4 linked regions of the Rattus norvegicus genome follow. The protein of the gene in region 2 binds, or shares a complex with, the protein of the main gene of each other region. Links are inferred from orthologs where the notes say so. Each region holds a gene or a part of one and is shown on either strand. Other genes may lie near its edges. The genes, in order: Cenpc, Cenpa, Hjurp and Ntmt1.

Evidence for each region.
Region 1: Cenpa (region 2) and Cenpc share a complex: the UniProt entries of both Homo sapiens proteins name them as parts of the CENPA-NAC complex. The link is inferred for Rattus norvegicus from reciprocal best matches to the Homo sapiens genes CENPA and CENPC.
Region 3: the proteins of Cenpa (region 2) and Hjurp are in contact, whole or in part, in a crystal structure (PDB 3R45), measured with the Homo sapiens proteins. The link is inferred for Rattus norvegicus from reciprocal best matches to the Homo sapiens genes CENPA and HJURP. Residues at the interface, in NP_001800.1 of Homo sapiens: Lys64, Leu65, Ser68, Arg69, Arg72, Asp83, Phe84, Asn85, Trp86, Gln87, Ala88, Gln89, Leu91, Leu92, Ala93, Glu96, Ala97, Ala100, Phe101, His104, Glu107, Asp108, Leu111, Leu112, Leu114, His115, Ile132, Glu136; in NP_060880.3 of Homo sapiens: Glu14, Asp15, Leu18, Lys21, Leu22, Ser25, Arg26, Arg28, Phe29, Arg32, Met33, Leu36, Lys39, Tyr40, Pro43, Phe44, Thr47, Pro48, Val49, Val50, Gln51, Met52, Ala53, Thr54, Leu55, Ile65, Trp66, Gly67.
Region 4: the proteins of Cenpa (region 2) and Ntmt1 are in contact, whole or in part, in a crystal structure (PDB 5CVD), measured with the Homo sapiens proteins. The link is inferred for Rattus norvegicus from reciprocal best matches to the Homo sapiens genes CENPA and NTMT1. Residues at the interface, in NP_001800.1 of Homo sapiens: Gly2, Pro3, Arg4, Arg5, Arg6, Ser7; in NP_001273725.1 of Homo sapiens: Tyr19, Trp20, Met30, Leu31, Gly32, Tyr34, Ile37, Trp136, Asn168, Ile175, Asp177, Asp180, Asp212, Glu213, Ile214, Tyr215.

Annotation. Positions count from the first base shown.
Region 1 is NC_086032.1:22,341,649-22,345,753, reverse strand, and holds the start of Cenpc (centromere protein C), read right to left. Parts: upstream 2,845-4,105; 5' UTR 2,627-2,844; coding exon 2,609-2,626; intron 1-2,608. UniProt on the Homo sapiens protein: Component of the CENPA-NAC (nucleosome-associated) complex, a complex that plays a central role in assembly of kinetochore proteins, mitotic progression and chromosome segregation.
Region 2 is NC_086024.1:31,428,700-31,432,776, reverse strand, and holds the start of Cenpa (histone H3-like centromeric protein A), read left to right. Parts: upstream 1-1,224; 5' UTR 1,225-1,240; coding exon 1,241-1,400; intron 1,401-4,077. UniProt on the Homo sapiens protein: Histone H3-like nucleosomal protein that is specifically found in centromeric nucleosomes. Replaces conventional H3 in the nucleosome core of centromeric chromatin that serves as an assembly site for the inner kinetochore.
Region 3 is NC_086027.1:96,312,634-96,316,822, forward strand, and holds the start of Hjurp (Holliday junction recognition protein), read right to left. Parts: upstream 2,826-4,189; coding exon 2,730-2,825; intron 2,646-2,729; coding exon 2,579-2,645; intron 312-2,578; coding exon 256-311; intron 1-255. UniProt on the Homo sapiens protein: Centromeric protein that plays a central role in the incorporation and maintenance of histone H3-like variant CENPA at centromeres.
Region 4 is NC_086021.1:34,501,700-34,505,259, forward strand, and holds part of Ntmt1 (N-terminal Xaa-Pro-Lys N-methyltransferase 1), read left to right. Parts: intron 1-2,819; coding exon of another isoform or gene 2,820-2,861; coding exon 2,862-3,023; intron 3,024-3,560. UniProt on the Homo sapiens protein: Distributive alpha-N-methyltransferase that methylates the N-terminus of target proteins containing the N-terminal motif [Ala/Gly/Pro/Ser]-Pro-Lys when the initiator Met is cleaved.

The sequences.
Region 1 (4,105 bases), on a different chromosome or scaffold from region 2:
CATGTTGGTCCCCTAACAGCTAGAGCAGGGGCTGTCTCTTTGACTCCATTGCCTGCCATTGGATCCACTCCCCTAGCTCAACCGGCCTAAGTGGGAGAGGATGTGCTTAGTCCTGCTTCCACTCGACATCCAATTGAGGGCTAGTACTCAACCATGGGAAAGAGAGGTGTGCTGGGGGGGGGGGGGGGGGGGAGACTTCCCCTTCTCTGAGGGGACTTAGACTGGGGTGTAAAGTGAATTAATTAATTAATTAATGAAAAAATAAACAGGATGAAGATTTTGTCTTGAGATAATTTCTTTCCAGAGCTTTTATACCAAATTGTGTGCCACATTAGCACACAAAAAAGCTGTACCAGGAATGGAGTTTAGATGGTAGAAATGTTTCCTAGCATTCTAGAATCTCTGAGTCAGATCCCCAGAACCCGTAAACATGAGGTGGTGGTAAACTTTCAATCCCAACATTTACAAAGAATGGACAGGAGAGTTTAAGGCCAGTCTGGGAAACATGAGACTCTCTGTTTCAAAAAAAAAAGGGGGGGGGGTGGTACCAAAAGTTGGACTTGGTGATCTTGCAGACCCATAACCCCAGTACTTAGAAGGTGGATGCAGGAGTTCAAAGCCATCCTTGCCTACATAGTGAGTTCTTGTTGAAGGCCATCCTGGGTTACACGAGACACTGTCCCAAAACCAAACAACAACAAAAAGATATGCCAGATAAATAAGACAAAAGCTTAAATAAAAATTCTTAAAGGCAAAAGTCCATAATCTTCATAAAGTGTTTAAAAACAAAAGATGGAATCTAGGGAGCAAACTAAAGGAAAAAAAAATACCTAACAGTTTGGCTTCGTTACAAGCTTTCTCTTAGTGTCAAGATTAAACCTAGGACACATAAAACTCTACAGCACTGTATGACAGCCCCATAGCTGTGGCATGTTTACAATAGTCCCAGCATTTTTTATTTAATGGAAACGTTTAAAGCAAACACTCAGGTCTCTTTCTGGTATTCATCAATGTGAGAAATAAACCCAATCCTGAGAATGTTAAAGTACACAAGCTTCCAAACCTCGATTTATAAAACTTCTATGTTCAGCAAAATTGAAGGATCACAAATCTGCACCCTGCAACAGGTTTGAAACATGAACCCCTGCACCTCTTAGTCTGTTAAGCAGGAAAACTTTTAGGACAAAATAGGTCCCCTGCTCAGAACACTGAGCACCTACTAGAATGTCAGTGACTTAGGCACACTTAAAAGCAGGTGGTCACCAAGACAAATACGGCTCCTTAACTCTGAGTTCTAATTTAAAAAAATATTTATTTGAAAGTACAAACAGTCAACTTTAATTTATCCTTCAATTGATGTCAATTTAAGTTTCTTCTGCTATGATACTGCACTTCTCAAAAACAAAACAAAACAAAAAAAAAACACAAAACAAAACTGTGCAATAGTTTTTTGGTTTGGTTTGCGCCTATACATATCCACTAAGTGTTCTGGAACACTTCCCATCCTCTCCATCGTCCACACCCCAACTCCAAGCCTACTCTGGCAAACACAAAAGTTCCTTTGAATATGACAAAATATGTCTAAGGTAGGAAATTATCTTGAAAACCCTTGTATATAAAAACATCTGAGAACATTCTCCAGCTCATCCTTCCATTTATCTTCTAAATAGACAACGCACAGACGTCAGAAGTACAAAACTCCTAACAGTCGTAGGGTTATAATTGGCATATGATAATGTACAGCGGGCTTTGTTAAGCTTCGTTCTTTATGGCTTTAATGTTTCTTTTCTCTGATCACGTGCAACGTAAATAATATACATGATTTTGCAGAATACACACTCTACTGTCTTTTCATACATGTTCAAACATACACACACACACACACACACACACACAACTACATAATAGGAAACCATCAATGAAGATTTTTTTAAAAAGAAAAATAGAACTGCTAGATTAGGACAGAAATAAGGCATAGTAATCATAGAAAACTTGTAATGAGTATCGAGTGTGTCAAGAAACATAAAAGTTGCAAGTTATGGTCCAGGTCAAACATTTCGAAGTTGGCACCTTTCAAAATATGGTTGCCTTATATAAAGCTTTATCCTTAACAGGTGTCCCATAAATATTAGACTCTTCACATAAAATAGTATTTCGACAAATAACGTCGAATAAAGGGTTTAGCTTTGTTTTGATGGAGAAATTAATACTTGAGGTTTTCCAGACCATCAAGGCTGACTGACTTGTACAATAGTCATGACTATTTGGAAGACTGCAGAACGGGAAAAGGCTGAAACGTAGACACTGGAACAAGCTCTTCAGAGAAAAAAAGCAGGCACGGATGAGATTAGGATGTACAACCTTGGGACTACCAGTTCAGTCACTTCAGGTACCGGTAAACAATCACATCTGATTTGTTACCTGTGCAGTTCTCAATACACCCCGACAAGCCCCACCCGACTCTGGCCAGCGGGAAAAGGCACCCGCCCCATCCCACCCCTCCGCACCTCTCACAAGCCGGACGCAGCCCCCGCCCCGCGTCCCGATCGCTCGAGCACGAGACGACCGACTCACTCATCGCGCAGGCCCGACCCAGACCCGCACTTACCAGATGGAACGAGGCCATGGTTCCGGCCCACTAGGCCCAACGGAGGCCTGAGAGGGAAACCCAAGCAGGCCAGGGTTCCAGGAGGTTAAAAATCACTCAGCTAGCGTTAGATTGCGGACGGAGGCTTCCCAAGAACCGCCAGACCTGCACTTAAGACAGCCCTGAACAAACAGCAGAGACCAGCCTGGAGGGAAAAAAATTTTCAAATGAGCCACGCATGCGCACAAGCCTAGCTCAGCCAACTTGACAGCGGCCGTTACTTGCGTTTTCAGATTCCCGCCCTTGGCCCCGCCCCGTCTCCTGCTATCCACCTATCAACCCGCCTTTCTCAGGCCGCCCCGCCCTCCCTCCCTACGCCTTGCCTTTTTACTGTCGTCCCACCCTCCCACCCATCGCCCCGCCTCTCGCCCATCGCACCTCCTCTCGCCCGTCCTCCTGCCACTCTCCCGTCGCCCCGCCTCCCTCCCGTCGCCACGCCTCTCGCCTGTCGGCACGCCTCTCGCTGGTGGGCTTGGAGAGTGCTGGGCGCTCCTTCCCTCCTGCGTCTCCTTTCTTCAGCCTCTTTGCTGCGTCTACCGCTACTTGTATCTAAAATGCAGGTATTGAGCACCACCTTTGCTCCTTGAGATAAATGTATAATAAATAATACATCCCAGCAGTTTTATTACGGATTAATAGGTAATACTAAAAAGGATTAGAAGTAGAAATTGCTGGCGTTTTGAGCAGATAACTCTACGCAGATTCGTCAGCTACAACCAGTCCATCTATGCATTATCTCAGAAAATAATGTCTTCGATCTTTTTCAAGTATTTAGAAATTATTTATGAAGCATCATTGCAAGCAGAATGATTGGCATAAATTATATGTATAACAGTACAACGAACATAGATCTTTTTAAGAGAAAGTGGCTGCTTCTGTCTTATGCGAAAATTGGAAAACAAAAATACACACGGATATGTGTTTTGTCTTCTCCACGTGACTCTAGGTGACCCACCATACACAAGTCACCTAGAGTCACATGGTCGCGCCTGAAGCTGATCTATTTCCTAAGGAGACAGAATGCAAAAAGTAGATAGATAGATAGATAGATAGATAGATAGATAGATAGATAGATAGGCAGGCAGGCAGACAGACAGACAGACAGACAGACAGACAGGTAGGTAGGTAGGTAGGTAGGTAGGTAGGTAGGGTCTGGAGCGATGTCTCTGTGGTCAAGAGCTCTTGCTGCACTTTCAAAGGAGCAAAGTTCGGTTCCCAGCACCCACAAAGCAATTCAACCATTCGTAGCTCCAGTTCCGGGGGATCTGACGTCCTCGGCTGTCAGCAAGCACGCACGCGATGTCCTTGCATACATGCAGACAAAGCAATCATTCCTATAAAAAAATATTTAATTGCAGATTATTTTAGAATGATGGAGTTCAATACAAGCTAAATGTGCTCATGATGTCTGCCGAGCTTGCCAGTCAGATCCGCCAGAGGGCAGCAGAGGTGCTGCAA
Region 2 (4,077 bases):
TGACTTCTGGATCATATAGTAATTCTGTGTTTAAATGTTGTGTTTGTAGGTAGCATACTGGAGCTTGAACCAGTTGGCTGTTGGCTTTTTGTTTGTTTGAGACAAAAATAAAATAAAATCTCACTCACAGCTCTGACAAGCCTGGAACTCACTAGGTAGGTCGGCTGCCCCTGAGCTTGTAACAAACCTGCTTCTATTTCCCGAGTGCTGGGATTAAAGGAATCCACAGATGACGCCAGAGCACCTGTGGCCCAATCATCTCCCAAAGTCCCCACTCCTGAACAGGGAACACCAAGCTTTTGGAGGACATTTCAAATTCGAACCATGACACATTTCCATAGCAGCTGCGCCATTTTACACCACCCACCCCAATGTTCCACAAGGCTTCTATGAAACCACTGATTATATAAGTATTTTCCTGATTAGAGTACACGTTCACGATAGATCATTTAGAAAACTCAAAAAAGCAAAATGACGAAACTGAAATTCTCTTTATTCTAATTAGGGAGACATGACCTGAATTCATTTTACCCCCAGGAGAAAAGGGAAAAGACGGTTTTTCTCGGACAATTCTGTCATTGTGTTCGATAGCACGGTCCAAGAATAGTGTTGGCGCCTGCCCTCCTGGACCTTGTGCTCAGATCCCATGGTCCTGGCTGTCACCACCACCCTATCTTCTGAAAGGATGACGCAGTTAACCTGGTTTCTGAATCACACTTGCTGGTTGCTTTCAAGAGGGTTACGGGCGCTGGTGGAGTTGTCACATTCTTGGGCAGTCTGTTTCCGCATTTTTAGAGCCACTCAATGTTTGATAGGAAAGCATGCAACGTTTGAGGAAATGAGCTCTAAAACCCATCATCCACATAAGAACTGAATTGTCCTTTAGCCCAGAGTGGTCCTGAGAAAGTGAGTCCTGTCCGTAAGGGATCAAGAAGCAAAGGGTGGGAAAGTCCCGCCTTTTCCTTCGCTTCTCCAAGTACCCATTGGCGGACTCTGAGGTTCAGGCAATTGTTCCCATTGGCTCTTCCGAATGTCGCTCTACGCTCAGAGCCAGCCACTGAGAGTCACGGAGTGGATTTTAAAAATGCGGTGGGCGGAGCGTCTGATTTTTGAACTACTGGCGGCGGAGATCCGGCGTCCCTGACTCGGGCACGGTAGGCTTGCTGTCGAGTTCCGTTTTGGCCGCAGGACCCGGAAGGCTTAGGAGGAGTCGGCTGAGCCCGGACCCTCGCGTCCAGCCATGGTCGGGCGCCGCAAGCCAGGGACCCCGAGGAGGCGACCCTCTAGTCCGGCGCCCGGACCCTCTCAGCCAGCCACGGACTCGCGTCGCCAGTCGAGGACTCCGACGAGGCGGCCCTCCAGTCCGGCGCCCGGACCCTCGCGACGGAGCTCCGGAGTAGGTAAGCGGGCCTTCCCTGCACCACCGAGGCTGCTTCCGTGACCTTGCGAGGCGGGCCAGCAGAGGGACCCTTGCCCCTGGTCAAGCCATGCCGCTAACCACGCATGGGGTTAATGGTTTCTTTCCTGGCCATTTTACAGCCGGAGGGGGGGAAAAAAAGAAGAGCCGCAGACCAGATAGGTTGCTTGAGCAGAGATACACAACACATTCTAACAGACACGGGGTCTTTTTTAAGGATTTATTTAATATTTGTGTGTGTGTGTGTGTGTGTGTGTGTGTGTGTGTGTGTGTGTGAGAGAGAGAGAGAGAGAGAGAGAGAGTGTGTGTGTGAGAGTGAGTGTGTGTGTGTGTGTGTGTGTGTGTGTGTGTGTGTGTGTGTGTGTGTGTGTCTGAGTGTATGCTACATGTGCGAAGGTGCTGGCGATAGCCAGAAGAGGGCATCGGAAGCCCGGAGCCGGGAGTTACAGAGAGTTGTGGAGCTGCCCAGTAAGAGTGCTGGAACAGAACCCAGGCCCCCTGGAAGAGCAGCTAGCGCTATTAACAGCTGAGCTAGTTTTCCAACGCCTACTTTTTATTATTTATTTGCAGGGCTAGAGATAGAACTCAGGACTCTGAGCTTGCTAGGCAAGGGTTCGATTATAGAACTACATCTCCAACCCTCTGTATGAAGGGCTTTAGAATTAGATTTACATGCCTGCTTCTTCCTCTCTGTACTTGGATTAAAGGCACACACCACCACATTCAATTTTTCACAGAGGGACCGTGAGGCTCTAAAGGAATAGTGTGGTCATGTTTGTACCTACCGCTGCCAGAGCTGATGTATCTGTATGATGTTGGCTGTTGATTTCCAGTGTAGAAGCAACCTTCCATTACTCTTATCTTAGGGAAAAGTTTTATCTCAGATGTGCTCACACACTTCTTGACTCTCCTACTGCCCTTGTCTAGTAAGCTTGCTTCCAGCTATTTAGCGCTTTTTCCTTCTTCCACTTCCTTCAGCCTAAGCCCTTGCCCTCACACTCACGGCCTTTTCCTGGATGTCCCCTTCCTTTCCCAAGTCATCCCTTCTTTTATGTGGGCTCTTGGATATATCTTCCTTTTGTGCTGTAAGGGACTTTGTTGTCCTTGCTACCTTGCTCTACATAACAGCTCTCAGCCATCTGAAGCTCCAGTTCCAGAGGATCCTTCTGGCCTCTGCAGGCACTGCATACGCAGACATACATGTAGGCAAAACAGATACACCTAGAATAAGATAAAACCAGTTTTTTTTTTTTTTTTTTTTTTTTTGGTTCTTTTTTTCGGAGCTGAGGACCAAACCCAGGGCCTTGCGCTTCCTTGGTAAGCGCTCTACCACTGAGCTAAATCCCCAACCCCCGATAAAACCGGTTTTGGTGCGACAGTGGCTTCCACATATCTCAGGCCACCCTGGAGCTCAGGACACCTTGTCTCTGCTTCCCAGTTGTTGGAATTGTAGGTGAGAGCCCATGGGCCTGGCTGGAAAGAGCCTTAGTATGTAAGTCCTGCTTGAAATTCTCTGGCTCCCAACTGCTTATGTTGACTCTTGAGACCCGGCTTCAGTGTGTTTGAACCCAGTCTCTCCGGGTCGACTCCGATGCCTTGCGTTTCATAAACATCTGTTCTTGCATCATGAATCTTAGAGCTCTCTTCCTCTTATATTTCTCAAAAATCTTCCTTTTTGGGGGAGAAAATAAGGCCTCACCAGTCTAGGCTCCTACCTCTGCCTGTCGAGCCATGGATTGCAAGTGCACAGCATGGCGCCCAGTTCTCTCCTCTGTTCCAACTCCTTGGGTAGAGTTTATTTGGATTCTTGAGTTTGGCTCCCTTCTCTTCTGGTGTTAGTCGAGTTCTTTGGTGGTCTCTGGTTGTGCTGCCTTTGTTTTCTGTGAGCGTGTACCTGGTAACAACACCCTCTCACCACCCCTCCCTCAGCTGTGCTCCCATAAGTGGTGGGGAAGAGGCAGCTACTCATAGTTTATCTCTTAGTCGTGGTGCATCATGGTTAGCGTCAGTGGACAGCCTGCTATGAATTTAGTCACCCAGGAAGGGGGAACTTCAGCTGAGGAATTGCTTCTGTCAGAGTGGCTGGCCTATGGCCATGTCTGTGAAATATTTTTTAAAATATTTATTTAATGTATATTACAGATGGTTGTGAGCCACCATGTAGTTGCTGGGATTTGAACTCAGGACCTCTGGAAGGACATTCAGTGCTCTTAACCACTGAGCCACCTCCAGCCCATGTGAAGCATTTTTTTTTTAAATTGCTTATCGATGTCGGAAGGCCCAGTCCACTGTGGGTGGCGCTGCCACCTCCTATGTGGGTAGGTGGGCTTGAACTCACATAACCCCTTTCCTCCCCAGGTTGGTCTTCGAGGTGGTGTTTTAATCGCAGCAACAGCAACCAAAGTAGAGCAGGGTCCTCCCTCTTTGTCTTAAGTGTCTCCAGTCTCCTAGACACTGCTTGGGACTTCGGCTCACTCGGGATTAAGTCTCCACCACCTGCCTGGCACGGCCCACCTCTCCTCTCGTCTCCCTTCTTCCATTTTCCTCAGGTGTTCCTTACTGCTGGGGATAGAGTCTCTTTCTTGGCTGGACCTTAAGTAACCCAGCTAAAGCTAAGGGTTCCTGTGTGCAGCACCAGGGGTTGAACCCAGGGCCTTAGG
Region 3 (4,189 bases), on a different chromosome or scaffold from region 2:
CCTCTAGGACACACCCTGCAAGCCCCGGAGCTGATCCAGCATCTGCACACAAGCTTGCTGTTAGGGTCCTGTGGACCATGATAGAGAAATAGCACACAGGAGCCAGGAGATGAAGAAACACCAGGAGGGGCAAAGGCAGAGGAGGAGATCGGTTGCCCTGAGGTGGCCTCCTCAGGGCTCACTTGTGTTGGGATTTAGTCACATCAACAACACACTATAGCAAAGCACCAAGGCAGCAAATGTGACCGTAAATACCTGAGTGTGTTCCTCGTCTTCTTCCTTTATCAGCTTTCCTCCCCAGACTCTCAATCCTTAAGAAACAAAGGTGACAAACTGAAGCAATCTGAAATGCTCGTGTTTCTGCTTAAAATGCTTTGACGGGAAACCCAACGGAACGACACAAAGCCTGCCTTAAAAGCGATCCAGGCGTTGACAGAGCCCTGTTCAGCTTGGTGAAGGAGAAAGTGTTTTAAAAAAACCAAGATCGGACAAACGTCATTAACGGCCATCTCTCCTACCCAGAAGGTGGCAGTTCACCCAATTCCAGTACGAACCCAAAGGGCTACGGACAGCTCATGTTCCAAATACATACCATTTTTAAGCTGTATGTTTGGGGTTGGGTGTGTGTGAGACAGTCTATGTTTAGTCCAGGGAGTGGCAGGAGTAGGAGGTGTGGCCCTGTTAAAGTAGGTGTGTCATTGTGGGCTTTACCAACTTCATCCTGGCTGCCTGGAAGTCAGTATGCTGCTAGCAGCCTTTAGTTGAAGATGTAGAACTCTCAGCTCCTCCTGCACCATGTCTGCCTGGATGCTGCCATGCTCCTGCCTTGATGATAACGGGCTGAACCTCTGAACCTGTAAGCCAGCCCCAATTAAATGTTTTTTTTTTGTTTTTTTTTGTTTTTTTTTTTTTTTTATAAGACTTGCCTTGGTCTTGGTGTCTGTTCACAGCAGTAAAACCCTAACTAAGATGGGGGACAGAGATGCGTATCATACATTTGACCTCATCCTGGGAGTCAGTGCTTTCTTGGGCAATCTAGAAGCACAGTACTGAGAAGCCCGTGTACAGAGAATTCTGGAGCTTGAGTGCACCAGCCCTGTCACTCCCCAGCTAGCAGAACCCATGCGATGTACTCAGCCCTAAATCTCCCAGGAAAACACATGCTACTTGGAAAAATGGTGGGTTTAGAGATTTGAGATGGTTGTATTATAAGAGAAGCAGGGGGAGAAAAATTACACAGCATCCTCTATGCTCCAGAATTCAGCAAGGACATACCATGTAGTAGTCAGAACCCGTTTGCATGTGACTCCTATACCCTCCTCAAAGCCCACAGGACAGAGACTTACCATGTTCACTGTACGGACAGAGATGCAAAGAGGAAAAGTTCAGAGGACTAGACACAGGCTCTTCCTTCATGCAGTGTAACCAGCATGTGAATTCTGGGAGGTCTGACTGCACTGACCACTGTAGGTCACAGCCTTTCCAGAAGACAGTGATGCTTGACTCTAAGAGCTCAGAGTCAAATCAAGGCTTGGCTACTCTGTGGGAATCTACATTTAATTGCATTTCCTTTTTTTTTTTTTTAAGTGCTTATGTTGCATGTTTGAAACCGAACTCTACAAAAACTCCTAAGTGCAGACACAGGTGAACTGTCAATACACTCGAACAGATTCCTGTATTGTTCTCTGCAGTCAGCTCTCTGCTCCAGTCTCCGCCTTAAGTCGGGACTTCGTTCTATTGCCCATCTGTATGGTCTCAAACTCTTTAGACACCTCACTCTTCTCATATAACTGACAGCAGTTATATATCGCCGACAAAATATATCATTTTAAGATAGATGGGCTGTCCAAAATATTCCACCAACCACCCCCAACAGCCACAAGAACACAGAAAAGCTGAGAGACAGAGAGCACACTGAAGGATTCCTACACTACTGTGTCCTGATCCCATCCAGAGAAAAGCAACCCATTGCAGTATTACTTCAGTTTCTGACTACGGAAAATGCTTACCCAATACGTCGTGCCTTGAACAGTCAAAAAGACAAAGGGCAGACTGCACTTGTCAAAGAGCTGGTCCTCTGGACCCTTGGCAGACTGTGATCCCAAATCAGATTTTATCAATAAATGAAGACAAACATCTGGGATGGGTCTTAGGGAAGGAAATAACGTCATCCAATACAAACATACCCCAGTTAGAGAACACATTAGGTTTAAGGCAGTTCACAACATTAAATAAAATGGCTTCAGAAGAGGAAGATAATAGGACTATGGCATAGCCTATGAAAACGGAGCAGTCCTGGGTGCAGTTCCAAATGGCTTGACAGGCACTCCAGTGAACACACCCATATGGAGTACCCATGGTTGTCAACATCCTTATTTTACAGAGACACTGTGCCGCTAATCAATTAGCTCGGACTTCCACGGCAGGCATTTTAAAAACCAGGCTGCACCTGTGTCTCCAGGCATTTCTCTCAGAGAAATGAACTGGACATCAGCAGTTCATGGATTCTAGGTCTGCATTGCAAATTCTAGACCCCATTGTTGTAGCACGCTGCCAAAAGAAAGAGAGGGTTCCGTACCCTGGGGCGTCTCGTAAGTCAGCGTGGCCATCTGCACCAACGGGTCATCCTCAAAGGGTTGGTTGTACTGCGGGGAAGGAGAGCTGGTCAGACGTGAGGGTGTTGGATTCCCGCCCGCCGCGCCCTTCCCGCCACGGTCGTCCCAGCCCACCTTCGCTATCAGCCGCTGCATGTACGTCTGGAAGCGTCTACTGCTTTCCTTGAGACGCTGATCCAGCGGGCGATCCCGCAGATTCATAGACTCCATGGCGTGCGTGGCTCAACCCCCGAGCACAACACCCGCCCAAGCCCGCTCACAGATCAAACATGGCGCCCCAAGCGCTGATAGGTCCTTTCGAAAGTATTTACGCAACCGATCCTGCTCGAGTTTCCGCCTCTCTCAGGGAGCGCTTCCGGCAGAAACGGGAAGGGGAGAGAAGAAAGAGAGGGCTAGGGAGCCGGTGGAGCATGCGCATTACTTCATGCGGCACTTCTGCGCCCCCTAGAGGCGTCTGGGTGAGTTGCCCGTCAAGGCTCCCACACCCCGCCTGAATCTACCAATTTCCCAGCTCTTGGGAAGGTTTGGGAAAAGCCAGCTCCAAATAATGGTCCTGAAAGGAGTCGGGAAAGCCAGTATTCAAAGACAAGACACGTATAAATGTGCTGATCGATATTATAAGCGTGACAGAATCTGTGGTTTTTATCCTAGGGTTTTGATAAACTTTCTTTCCCGTTTCTGGTTATAGGCTGTTTCTTGATTGATATTTATCTTGTTCCTTGAGGGGGTAGGTGATTTCGTGTCCATTTTATGAGAATACTTACCTTGACACTTTAGAACATTTTCAGATTTTTTTGGGGGGGGTTGTCTTCTTGCGGAGCTGGGGGATTGAACTTCAGACTAATTTGGTTTTACTCTGGCTTCATAACAGCTGCATCCGTGTGCTTGTGTTAGCGTGGTTATCACAATGCGGGCGAAAATGGAGTCATTACTGAGTATCAGGAAATCCCTTGAGTCGCCTCTCTATTTCTCAGCCTGCCCCATAACCTTTTCATGCTGTCCCACTGAAACCGGGGAAGGGAAGAAGAGCTTCCGGGTTCAGAGACTGTGGATGTCCAAGCAATGTATTTGCAACAGGCACAGAGATGAGCTATCAAGTCCCTTTCAAGATACTCAGCTTCCGGGAGGGCGTCAGTTGTCCAACTCTCTTGGGATTGAATGGAGGCTGTCTCATCCAATCTGTCCCTACCCCGACATGACCCTGCTCCATGTGAGGATGTGAAAATGTGTTGCTTCAGAGCAACGGTGGTGGTGTCAACCAGATATGCTATTCTGTCTCCTGTGTGCCTCTAGCTTTCCCCATCCTGATGTGCTGAACTTCTCTGGACTGCAAGCTTAAAGTCGAACTTTCTTTCCTTAACTTGCTTTTTGCTAGGTGTTTTCTCACAGTAATAACAAAATACCCAAGACGCTGTCAATTTACAGATAATCTTGACTCCGGATAGAACGTTCATGACCACTGTGTTAGAAAGAGGCATAAACAGTTCATCAGAGTGCGTTTAGCTACATAGGTGGAAATGGTTTCAGAATACTGATTGTCATTGAGAAAACTCAATCAAAGCATTTACATACAT
Region 4 (3,560 bases), on a different chromosome or scaffold from region 2:
CCTCTGCCTCCCTATTGCTGGAATTAAAGATGTGTGTCTCCGCCCAGGGAGGATGTCTCTCTTGATGTCCCTAATTCTCAGGAGCCTTCAGGCCACACAGTGGGCCCTAGAGAGCCATGTTGGGACAGGGCCTCAGGAAGCATGTGTCTTCTTCCCGAGTTGGCTGTAAGAGCAAATCAACCCAGGACTTGCATTCCCCAGTCTGGATGTGTCCATCCCCTGCTCCAGCCCCACCCCTCCCCCATAGCTGCTCCCTAGTAGCTAGTGGGGTTCTTGTAAATGAGATTTTTTCAAGAGACTTTGTGGCATTTAAAGGAATTATGCCACAGGCTTTTAGTAAAGCAACAGATATTGTTGGTAATAGTAGTGTCGTCTGGTTTGAGGGGTCTAGGAGCCTCCAAAAGTGAGAAATGGCTGCCCCCACGCATGCTCCCTCGCTCAGTCATTCTACCGCCAACTAGCAAGCCCAGCTGAACTCCAGCACCCCAAAAGACGCTTGGAGGAGCGGGCAAACTGGGGGGCAGCAGAGAGGCGGAGTGTGCTCCCTTCTGTGGGTGTCTCCCATTTCCCCTCTCACCTGGTAAGGGCCAGATCGCGTGCTGCAGGCCCGCGTGCTGCGTGGGCTATGAGGAAATAACTGAAGTCGTCGTTTTCACATTGGAGGGGGCTTTGAACATCAGTCTGAACATTTTCTTAGGACTTAGGGACAGCGAGGAAGGCTGGCTGCTGGGCCCCAGTACGGGCGGGGCCAGCACAGAGCTCGTGTGTGTGTGTGGAAGAGGCCTGAATATCGTCCTAGCTGCTGGTGGCTGTGACAGAGTTGCTGTGGTGCCTAAAGAGGCACCTGACAGCCCTCTTGTCCCAGGTCATTCTCAGTCCCCAATCAAGTACATGGTGATGGCTCATGTACCATGTCTCTGGTTCTCAAGCCACAGTACCGCTCCGCTGGTAGAGGAGATGTTCTTGGGGGACCTACCGGTCTGCACATTGCTCTGTGGGCCAGGGCATCGGTTCTCAGAAGCCTGCCGTTGTCTTCCCTGGGCCAGTGCTGCTGCTGCTGCTGGCAGGGCATTGTGGTAAAGGAGTGTGCCATTTAGAACCAAGGTCCTCAATCTGTTGCTCCAAGGGCCTCTTGGGGTGCAGTACAGCCATGTAAGACGTCTTCCTCTGACACCAAGCCCTTGTCCCAAAGAGTGTGGTTGTGGTGCAGTGGGGGCTGGTGACAGATAAGGCCACTGTGCTCTTGTGTTCCCTCCCCCTTCCAGTCACAGAAGTACTCGGCAGGGACCTCCCAGCAGCCCACGGGGCTCCTTTCTGGTGTGAGCCTCTTTATTGCTCTCTTCTCTGGCTTTGCTCTTTTGCTCCCAGAGTCCCATGCTGACTGTTAGTGTTGAGCTGTGTGACTTAGGTGCTCGGTGACACCGCCTGTCATAGTGGTATCCAAGTCGGTGGGGTGAGACCTGGAGCTCCAAGGCTGGCCATGTTCCTATAGCATCCTAGCTTCCTCACTGGCCCTCCAAGCAGACACACTGTTGCCTCCTAAGGGCCTTCCTTTGTCATTAGCCTGGCAGACATGGTGCCGAGGGCCGTCATGGTGTGAAGTGTGAATGGCAGGGCCCTGCCCCGTGAAGCCAGTGTTTTAGCGGAAAAGCTGCCTGTGTGGGGAGAGCAGTGCATGGACCCTTTGACCTGGGCAGGGCTTTTAGTTTCTATGTCCCCCGGGTCCCTCTTCTGTACAGTGGGTAATGGTGGCAGGGGAAGGTCGGATGCTGGACAGTGGCTGAGCAGTGACCGACACTTGTCCACTGTCTTTCAGCACAGCTACCGCTGTATCTGCTTCCCCCTGACACCCTCGGGTTAGTCCTGGGTGTTTCTCGTGAATTGGACACTTAATTAGTTTTCAGTGACTATCAACTTCGTGAGCTCCTCAGCCAGCAGGAGCCAGCAGGGGCCAGCAGGAGCCAGCAGAGGCCAGCAGGGGCCAGCAGGCCGCAGTTCAGGGCTGCTCCTCTGTAAAAGTCTTCTGCTGCTTCTCAGTCATTCTCACTGTGGCCCTGCTGCTGCCCCTATCACTTTCTCTGTCCCTGTACCCCTCCCCCAGAGGCCCCCCTGCCCCCATTCAGAAAGCAGTCCTCTAGAGCCCACCAGGCCCAGTGGGGTGCTTATCCAGTGGTACAAGACCTGGGTTCCACTGGAAACAAAAGGAAGAGATGGCTCCATTGACTGCACAGCCTTTATGAAAGCCATGTAAGGACGGAGGGGCCCTTGTTTTCTGCTGTGTTTAGCAGCTTTCTGCTTCCCTGTCTCCTGCTGGACTGTGAACACCGATCCTCGCACTAGCTGGGACACAGGGGAGCCAGCACCTCCCACAGTTGTGATCCTGCGTCTTCCACAACACATGGTGTGGAAGCTGGCGTGGGTGCTGCCAGCCTAGTTCTTCCTGTTGGGGTCCTGTTTGTGCCTAGCTCCTGCCTATTGCCACAGTCTGGTGCCTGGCAGAGAACGTGCTCTGGAATGAAGGGCTGGCCCTCCCTGACCTGTTCGCTTGCCACTGAGGGAGTAGAAAGGGAAGGAAGTTGCTCAGGCCTTCTGGGGTGTCCATAGCAGAAGTCAGGGAACCCTGCTCTGTGGCCTTTGCCTGTCCTGAGGTCAAGAGAGTCACATGGATGTCCGGGATGTTGGGCTGCCTAGGCGACTGGATGTTGCTTTCTCAGGGCTTCATTACCTCTCAGAGAGGTAGTGCCTCTCGCATTATGGCCTGTATACTAGAGGCTTCCTGCCATTCAGTGCCCTGTTGACCCTGCCTCTTCCGTGTTCAGGGGAGCAGAGCAGTGGCTGGTGACTGTGCAGCTGGTGACGTCATGACAAGCGAGGTGATCGAAGATGAGAAACAGTTTTATTCGAAGGCCAAGACCTACTGGAAGCAGATTCCGCCCACGGTGGACGGCATGCTCGGGGGGTATGGCCACATCTCCAACATCGACCTCAACAGCTCCCGGAAGTTTCTGCAGAGGTTTTTAAGGGTAGGCAGGTCTGATGTCCTCTCCAGGAGAGGCTGTGGCTCTGGCGGGGCAGTGCGGGGAGCCTCTTCCACATACCACACTGCAGGTTCTCTGCTCATCTTGTTGGTGGCTGCCACCAAGGCCCTGAAGATCTGGGTGGTGATTGGGTGGGACTTGTGGACCGTGAGTTTTGTCTCAGGGCCACAAGTCAGAAGCTGGCCATGCACTAGGGACTTAGTAGTCTGGGAACAGTCACTGCTGGGCCTAAGAGTGTGCGGACTGTGGGTGGTGACCGTCCTCCCTTCTCAGCTCTGTGCAGCTCAGGGGTGAGCCTTGGAGGAGGCCCTTACCCTCTCTCCACACCCCCATGGGCCATCCCTAACTCTGTCACCCTATGGGCTCCTGGGAGCTCTGAAGTGAGAGCAGATTGTGCACCTGTTTTTTCTAGCTGTCACCTTGAAAGTGACCTGAGAAAGACTTCCACTTGCCCTTCTGTGACAAACCAGTGCAGGTGCCTGACTCGGCTTTCTGGGACTCAGAGGAAGGGCCCTGCGGTTG